2 linked regions of the Caenorhabditis elegans genome follow. The protein of the gene in region 1 purifies or fractionates together with the protein of each later gene. This does not show direct contact. Each region holds a gene or a part of one and is shown on either strand. Other genes may lie near its edges.

What was found. Proteins that work in one complex are often made in the same cells at the same time.
Region 2: the proteins of hxk-2 (region 1) and far-6 fractionate together in Caenorhabditis elegans (co-fractionation; one large-scale study listed by BioGRID). This does not show direct contact.

The regions. Positions count from the first base shown.
Region 1 is NC_003279.8:11,319,786-11,325,098, forward strand, and holds the start of hxk-2 (Phosphotransferase), read right to left. Parts: upstream 3,326-5,313; 5' UTR 3,308-3,325; coding exon 3,273-3,307; intron 3,199-3,272; coding exon 3,096-3,198; intron 2,587-3,095; coding exon 2,427-2,586; intron 1,689-2,426; coding exon 1,546-1,688; intron 315-1,545; coding exon 181-314; intron 112-180; coding exon 1-111. Other genes in the region: cdk-9 (putative cyclin-dependent kinase 9), read left to right, coding at 3,747-3,796, 5,087-5,134.
Region 2 is NC_003282.8:13,326,355-13,330,094, forward strand, and holds far-6 (Fatty-acid and retinol-binding protein 1), read left to right. Parts: upstream 1-2,004; 5' UTR 2,005-2,006; coding exon 2,007-2,517; intron 2,518-2,565; coding exon 2,566-2,609; 3' UTR 2,610-2,960; downstream 2,961-3,740. Other genes in the region: pqn-74 (Chitin-binding type-2 domain-containing protein), read right to left, coding at 3,429-3,473, 3,630-3,740.

The DNA.
Region 1 (5,313 bases):
ATCAATGCAACTATATTCACTTTAACACGTCCATCACGTGCAATCGCATCTTCTAACAGTTGTACGACGTCTTCGCCCACGCATCCTGTCGCTGTTACTCCTTTTGTCCATCTGTGAAAATGCCCTCTTTTTTTTTGTTGAATTTTTGGGTCCCACCACGCGATTTGTGGGTTACTGTACCTGAGCAGCGTGGCCGATCGGAGCCCGGTTTGATCGCAGGGATACGAGAAAGTGAATCCAACAGGCAAATGCTCATCGGCGAGCTCACGTTCGACAAGAAAATCGCACAGAGCTTTGGCAATGTAGTCGAAAAGCTGAAAACATTTTTTTGGAATTTTCTGGAAAATCAGGAAATTTAGGCTAATTTTAGCGATTTTTTTAAAATTTTTAGGTGAAAATTCAGTGAAAAGCGGGAAAAAATTAGTTTTTCATGCGAAAAATTAAAAAATTAAAAGGTTTTCCGGCTTAAAATGCAAACTTTTCCCCAGTTTTCAGGCTGAAAATCTCGAATTTTTAGATTTTTGAGGTCGAAAACAAGACATTTTCAGGTTTTTCTGTATGAAAACCACCAAATTTTCCGGGTTTTCCGGCTGAAATTTATGAAATTTCAGGGTTTTCTTATTGAAAATCGCGAAATTTTCAGCTTTTTACGCGTAAAAAGTCCAATTTCTCAGACTTTTTAGGCTAAAAAACTAAAATTTTCCGGTGGGGGGCTTCAGGCTGAAAATTAGGAAATTTCCAGGTTTTCCGGCTAAAACTTATAAAATCTCAGGGTTTTAGGCTGAAAATCACCATATTTTAAGGTTTTCAGGCTGAAAATTACGGAATTTTCAGGTTTTTACGCTTAAAAAGTCCAATTTCTCGGACTTTTCAGGCTGGAAAACATGAAATTTCTCAGATTTTTTAGGTTAAAAAACTAGAATTTTCCGGTTTTTAGACTGAAAATCACGAAATTTTGAGATTTTTTAAGTTAAAAAACCAAAAATTTCCAGTTTTTTTGGCTGAAAACTTCGAATTTTTAGATTTTTGAGGTCGAAAACAAGGAATTTTCAGGTTTTCAGGCTGAAAATCACGAAATTTTCCAATTTTCAAGCTAAAACACGCAATTTTTCCGGTTTTTCCGGCTGAAAATCGCGGAATTTTCAGGTTTTTTTATGAGAAAAAACCAAAATTTCTCAGATTTTGAGGCTGAAAATCACAATTTCTCAGTTTTTTGGGTTTGAAAACCGGAATTTTTCGGTTTTTTCAAGCTAAAATACGCAATTTTTCAGTTTTATCCCTCTGAAATTTATGAAATTTCAGGGGTTTCAGGCTGAAAATGTCAATTTCTCGGATTTTTTAGGGTAAAAAACCAAAATTTTCCAGGTTTTCATGCTGAAAATCCCCAATTTTCAAGTTTTTCATAGCTTTTTTTCTGCTTTTTTCACGAAAATTCCCAATTTTCATGGTTTTCTTCAAATTTCAGTGGCAATTTCTTCAACTTTTATCGCTTTTTTTCCAGTTTTTCAGCGCGTTTTCAGGCTAAAAATCCCGATTTCCTCGTACTTTTTGTCCGGTTCCATGCATTGCGGCATTTGGCATTCTTGTATTAAATTGTTTAGTTCTCATCGGCTCACCGGGCTCCAGTTCCATCAACATTACACGTAGATTTGTGCCTCCGAGGTCCATTGCAACGAATTTTCCACGTTCTGCAAAAGAAAATCATTGATTTTTACTGAAAATTCGGCGGAAAGTGGCTGATTTTGGTGTAGGTGGCTTAGAAAATGGTGAACTGGGATTTCTAGGCCACCTAAAGTTAGGCCATAGTATGACAGTTGTTGTTTTGCCGCAAGAATGGAGTTCTTGGTAAAAATCTGGTGGAAAATGAGTAGGTGGCCTAGAAAAAGCTAGTTTTGGATTTCTAGGCTACCTAAAGTTAGGCCATGGTGTGAATTCATTGAAATTTACGATTTTTTCAGTAGAACATGAAATTTTCGTGAAAATTTGGCGCAAAATTGCTGCTTTTGGTGATGGTGGCCTAGAAAATGGAGGCCTGGGATTTCTAGGCCACCAAAAATTAGGCCATAGGCTGAAAATATGAAAATCAACGTTTTTTCAGCAGAACATGGAATTTTCTTGAAAATTCGGGGGAAATGAATGAGTTTTGTGTAGGTGGCCTAGAAAATGATGGGTTTGGATTTCTAGGCCACCAAAAGCTAGGCCATGGATTGAAAAATCGAATTTTTAGCCAATTTTTCGGATTTTTTGAATTTTCAGTCAAATTTTCTACGTTTTCAAGAGAAAAATCAGTGATTTTTATGAAAATTCTTGCTTTGGTGGCCTAGAAAATGGTATATTTGGATTTCTAGGCCACCAACTGGAAAGTTAGGCCACGACCGTAAAAACCCATTCTTAGGCCATTTTTTCTCGATTTTTCGATTAAAAACCTTTTCCATTCGGCAATTCTGGCACAAAAGATGGTAACATTGCAATTGTGGACCGTTCCAAGCCGGATTCCAGTCCTCGATCCATATTATCTGATAAATGGGACATCATTCGTCGGAGAGTCGTATTTGACAGCTTAAACTCGGCCATCACGGATTCCAGCTGCAAAAATATCGATTTTTAGGTGGTAAATTGGTTGGTGGCCGTGAAATTTGGGTTTCTAGGCCACCGAATGGAAAAGTTAGGCCACGGACTGATTTTTGATCAAATTTTGATATTTTTAACGGGTTTTAGAGTTAAAAAGCAGCAAATACTCAAATTGTATTTTACGGTGGCCTAGAAAACCCAAAACCGGATTTCTAGGCCACCAATTCGGAAAGTTAGGCCATCGATTCGAATTTCGGTGATTTTCGAAGATTTTCACTTTTTTGGACATTGAAAATGAAGTTAATATCAGATTTTTCTGAAAAGGTGGCCTAGCCGGATTTCGAGACCACCAATTCGAAAAGTTAGGCCATGGACTGATTTTTAGTGAAATTTTGCATTTTTCGACTATTTTTTACGACAATTTCAGCGAAATATGCCAATTTATTGTGTATTATAAGGATTTTCATGCTTAAAAAGCCATTTTCAACAGTTTTTCTCCCGAAATTTTCCGCCAAATCTCCCACCGAAATCGATTCTTCATTCAGTTTCGACGCCATTTTTGCCAGCGGAGTCGTCGGCGTCCGCGGGCTCTTTTTTCCCTTTCCATGGGCTTGTGAACGCCATATCCTGAAGAAAAATGCGGTTTTATCGATTTTATCGATTTTTCCCGGGCGGAAAAAATTGAAAAATGTGAAAAATACCGATATTGAATGCCGAGCTCGATGATACCCAGCATTTTGTGTAGATTTTTGGGCTGAAAATGTTAATTTTGACATTAAAAAATAGTGGGAAAACAGATTTTTTATTTGTTTTTAAGAAAAATAAAATAATAAAAACCACGGGTTTCAGGGGCACACACAAATTGTCAATATTTTTGAGTGAAGATTTGACGAGAAGACGAGGAAAAACATGACGAAGAGACGCAGGCGAAACCCTTCGAAATTGATGATAGAAATGCTTTTTTTTTTGCAAAATAAAATAAAATACGGAAAATGTCAAGTGTGTGCGGCGGTTTGCAAATATCGCGCGCCCGCATTGCAATTGAGCCACTCCGCCCCTTTTCTCTATTTCTCAATGTTTTTTTTTGCAATTTTCCTCTATTTTTTCGGTTTTTTCGCAATTTTTTCGCAATTTTTAATGTTTTTTTCCACAAAAATTAACAATTTTCAGAGCAAATGAGTGCTCAAAACTATCACGCCGGCCTCCACCAGTCGAGTACACAGAGGTTCGTTGGATTTTAAGCGAGAAAACCCCCGGTTTTTCGTTGATTTTCACTAGAAATTCGTGATTTTAACGTGAAAAACACCCCAGATAACTAAAAAATCCACGATTTTGATTTGCAAAACAAAAAAATCAAAAAAAAATTCGCAGAAAATTGATTTTTCGGCAGTTTTTGAGTGAATTTTCACACCGAAATTTATTAAATTAGCGATTTTAACAGCATTTTCCACTGAAATATCACCAAAAATCCAAATTTAAACCTAAATTTTCACTAAAAACCGAGTTTTCCACCTTTCTGAGCAGATATTTATCGATTTTAAGCAATTTTAGAGAGTTTTCCGCTGAAATTTTCGAAATTTTCCCCGAAAAATCGATATTTTCATATGAAAAACTATTAAAAAACTATAGTGAAAATCGCTGTTTTTTCCAACTTTCAGTTTTTTAGGCTGTTTTTTTCACTAAAAAGTCGATTTTCACCCGAAAAAACCGGGGTTTTCAACTATTTTTACTCATTTTAAAGCAATTTTAGGGTGATTTTCACTGAAATTTCTCATTTTTCCCAATAAAAATCGATATTCTCGTTGAAAAACTACGGAAAATCCCTGTTTTTCCAACTTTTTCAGTAGGTTTAGGGTGTTTTTTCACTAAAAAATCCAAATTTTTTCGATTTTCCCCTAAGAAACCCGGTTTTTCACCTATTTTTGGGTAATTTTCACTGAAATTTCCAATTTTTCCCCTCGAAAAATCGATATTTTTACGTAAAAGACACCTTTTGAACACTAATTTCCACTGGAAATCCCTGTTTTTTTCACCAAAAACCCAAATTTAAACCTAAATTTTCACTAAAAACCGGGTTTTCCATCTTTCTGAGCAGATATTTATCGATTTTAAGCAATTTTAGAGGGTTTTTCGCTGAAAATTACCTCAAAATCACTCCGAAAAATCGATATTTTCATGTGAAAACTACTGAAAATCGCTGTTTTTTCCAACATGTTCATTTTTTTGTACTAAAAAGTTTTCGTCCGAAAAAAACCGATTTTTCACCTATTTTTACTCATTTTAAAGCAATTTTAGAGTGATTTTTCCCCGAAAAATCAATATTTTTACGTAAAAAACACCTTTTTAACACTAATTTCCACTGGATTTTTTTCGGCAAAAATAATGAAAATTCACTCAAAATTCGTGATTTTAACGTGAAAAACACCCCAAAAAACCGAAAAATCCACGATTTTGATGACAAATCCCCTAAAAAGTACTCATTTCCACCCAAAAAACCGCATTTTTTCATGTCCAGACCTCCGAAGCGGCCGAACACCGAGCATGCTCAGGAGCCGCCGAAAAGGTACGGAATTTAGGATGGAAAGTCGATATTTTCCACTGCAACTTTTTCCTCACGAGGGACGAGGAAAAGTGGTTTCTAGGCCATGGCCGAGGAGCCGACAAGTTTCAGCGGCCATTTATCTTGCTTTGTTTTCCGCCTGTTTTCTTTTGTTTTTCACAGCTTTTTCCCGTTTTTTCTTA
Region 2 (3,740 bases), on another chromosome or scaffold:
AAAATTAATTCTCACATATTTCAATGAAAATTTATGTGCTACTTTTGAAAATGGCATTCACATCAGGGGGTGGGCGGCAATCGATTTTTTCCGGCAAATCGGCAAATCGGCGAATTGCCGGAATGGAAAATTTCCGGCAAATCGACAAACCGGCAAATTTCTGATTTGCCGATTTGCCGAGTTTGCCGAAAGAAAGCAATTTGCCGAAAACTTTCGTCAAATTGTGGTTTCGCACTTTTTTTTTTGGAAATTTCAGAATTTCAATTTCAAATGGCAAAATTGCACGCATCCTATGAATGTTCCTACATCTATTTTGAAAAGTAAGCAAATTCTTTGAAAATATGTAGAAATACTGAAAAAATTCGTAAAGACACAGTTTTAAGTGTTTCCGTCTTATAAAAAATCCCTCTAAACATTTCCGGCAAATCTGATATCCGGCAAACGGCGAATCGGCAATTTACCGTAAATGAAAATTTCCGGCAAATTGGCAAACCGGGAAATTGCCAGAATTGAAAATTTCCGGCAAATCGGCAAACTGCAAATTTACCGATTTGCCGAATTTGCCGAACGGCAATTGCCGATCACCCCCTGATTTACACCAGGGCTGCCGGTTTGTCGGTTTTTCGAAACTATCGAAATATCGAAAATTTTCGTTTTTCGGTTCTCCAATTTTTCGACTTTTCGATTTTTCGGTTTTGCTAAAAAAAATGCATCTGAATTCACTCGAAATTGCAAAAAATGGTGGTAGGCACGCACGTATTCAAGATATTTTTTCCTGATTTTTTGACACTACAAATTCTTGCCCTTAGTTCAAAGTTTCACTTTATTGAACTGAAAGCAAAGTTCCAATAAACCGATTATCAGTCCTTCCACTTGACACGTAAAACATGCAATATTTGACACTGATAATGTCAAACGGAATTCCAAAAAAAATGATAGATAAAAAATTTGATTGATATGCATTAAAACAATGCCTAATAGTTAGAAAAAAGTCAGATAAAGAGTTGGTAGGGACGGGACGATTCAGAAATAAATCAATTTTGAATTGACGGAATTTCTTTAGCCAAGACTCGCCTAATCATATTTCCGAAACCGATCAAAATGTTTTGTTCCAGTATTCTGAAAATGACTGCGAACTCATTTTTTCAAGAAGTTCAAGAAAAAGAGGTTCTCTTTTGTTTTTTTTTGTTAATTTAGGTACATTTTAAGTCATTGGAGATATTTCACAGAGACTATATTTTCAGGTATTTGTACTAAATGAGAAACTGGATCAGCTTAAACCCGATGCACTGTTGTAAATGCAACTATTAAGGTCAGTCATGGTAATCTCCGTAATTCTGTTTTACAGGTCACAGCTCGGTTTCTGTGGGCTCATTGTAGGGATTCAAACATGCGCTATAGTTTTCTCAAAAAGTGGCAAAAACTTAGTAATTGCCACTTTTTGACTATCAATTAAAATTTTTTCCAACCAAATTTTAAAAAGCTTTACAATGATATTGTTGCATTTTGGCACCACACAGATTTAGGTTCAAAAAGAAAACCCTAAACTTCATTACACTAAAAGTAGTTTTCTTAATAATAGAAATCCAGGGAAAGTGAGTCATGTGTCTCGAAGGGAACGTGACATTTCATTGGAACTCTCGGTTCGGTACACTATTTCGTTAACGATGGGTCATCCAAGGTCGTATAAAAACATGGCCGGCGGAGCAGGAGCTGCACAGCAGAAGCGGCGCCGAGCTTTCTTTTCTTTAAGTTCTGCCGTTTTTTTCTCATTTTTCTCATCTATTTTTCTTTTAGAAATATAAATTATAAAACAACATACAGTAGACATGAAAAAAAACTTTTATGGGTCTTTTTTTGAACTGTTGACTTTGTGAAAAAAATGGCCTGAAAGCATTTTCACATCTACAGTGCCGGCCAATATTCTATTCGCTTTCCGTGATTTTATGATATCCAGACTATTTCAATTAAAAGTGGCAACCTATATAATTTAAAATGTTATAGCAATGATCCGCATCTTCCTTGTCATAGCACTTGCCTCCGTCGCTGTCTTTTCTGCTCCAATTTCACGCTTACCACAAAGCTTAGACGACATCCCAGCTGAGTTCAAGGAACTCATCCCAGCTAAAGTTACTGAATACCTTAAATCCATCACTACTGAGGAGAAAGCTGCTATTAAGGAATTTATCAAAAGTGTTATGGGAGGAAACAAATCTGTTGAAGAATTGAGTGCTGATATCAAGGAGCGGTCCCCATCCCTGTACGCTAAGGTTGAAAAACTCGACGTCCTACTCCGCACAAAACTCGCGAAACTCGACCCCGCCGCTCTGGCTTTATTCGGGAAAGTCATCGCTCAGGGACTTTCTTTCCGGCAACAGTTCCATGCCGGATACCAGCCAACTCCTGAGATGGTAAAGAAACTCTTCAAGGGATACATTGCTGAATATAAAACACTTTCTGAAAACGCCAAGGCCACCATCACCGATGAGTTCCCCATCGTCGTTGAATTCTTTCAACGTGAGTTTTTAAAATTTGAAATAAGATTAAACATTCGGTTATTTTCAGACGAGAAAATTCAAGCCATCATCCAACAGATCGTGAACTACTAAATTGTTTTTTTTTCAATTATTTTACCAAAATAAGCTTGTTGTCATTTAAAAATAAGTACCTTTGAAATTAGGTGTTTTCATGAAACAAGGTACACTAAGAAAATTATCTCCACAAAGTTTTTTACATTTTGCAATTTGCACTTCCTATAATTGCTTAAGTACTCCACTAAAAAACCAATAACAATTTAAATGTTTATTAAATGTATTTCGAAATTTGAGATTCATATGAAATACAAACAAATTGCAAAAAGTAGAAAACTGCGAAAATTATTTTCTTATTAAACTTTGTTTTATGAAAACACCAAGCGTTTAGATACTTGGAAATTCTAATAAAAAAACCGACCCGCCTGATGTCAGCTGCTGTAGCTTTTTTTCTGGAACAGAGTTGTATAATTTTGAAAAATCCAAAGTGTAGAAAAAGTTTTCGTCAATACTTTGTTAGTTGAAAACATTTTTCCAATAAGCAAAGTATTTGAGTTTAAAATATTTGAACAAACCATTAAAATCACTGCAAATCCGGGGTATCAGACAAAAACCAGAAAAGTATTGAAAATATATATTTATTGAAGTACCATCATAAGTTATATAATAGTTATCATTGGAGAGAAAACCCTAGACATTGGACAATTCGGAATACAAATAAGGATTGGGGATTTGGGGGAAGACGGGGGAAAAGTGAGGGCAAACTAGGCGGTACAATTATGGTTGTCTATGCGTATCCGTTTCATGATTGTTGTTTTCTTCACGGTATATACAAAAAGGCGAGAAGATTGTAGCAGTTTTTGGTTCGATGATGATGTGTGTGAGATGTTCGATCGATTAGAAACGACGGGCCTTCTTGCGGAAGTAGCAGCAAACCATGCACTGAAAGAGTGTTCGTTTGCTTATGATCTATTCGAGCCTCCCTCCCCATTCTTACACACCCCCGTCCCTATTGTAATCGTCTCAATTGCCACACACAAGAACGGAAACCGGTTGAATTGGTTGCCGATCTCTTGCTTCTAGACACTACTCTCTTACCTGTTGTCCGGCATTTTGTCCGACTTGGCAGACCGATTGTCCTGGGCACTGGTAGTTTTGGTTGCATGATCCGATTTGAACTCCTCCGGTGCATCCGCATTGAGCGTTCTG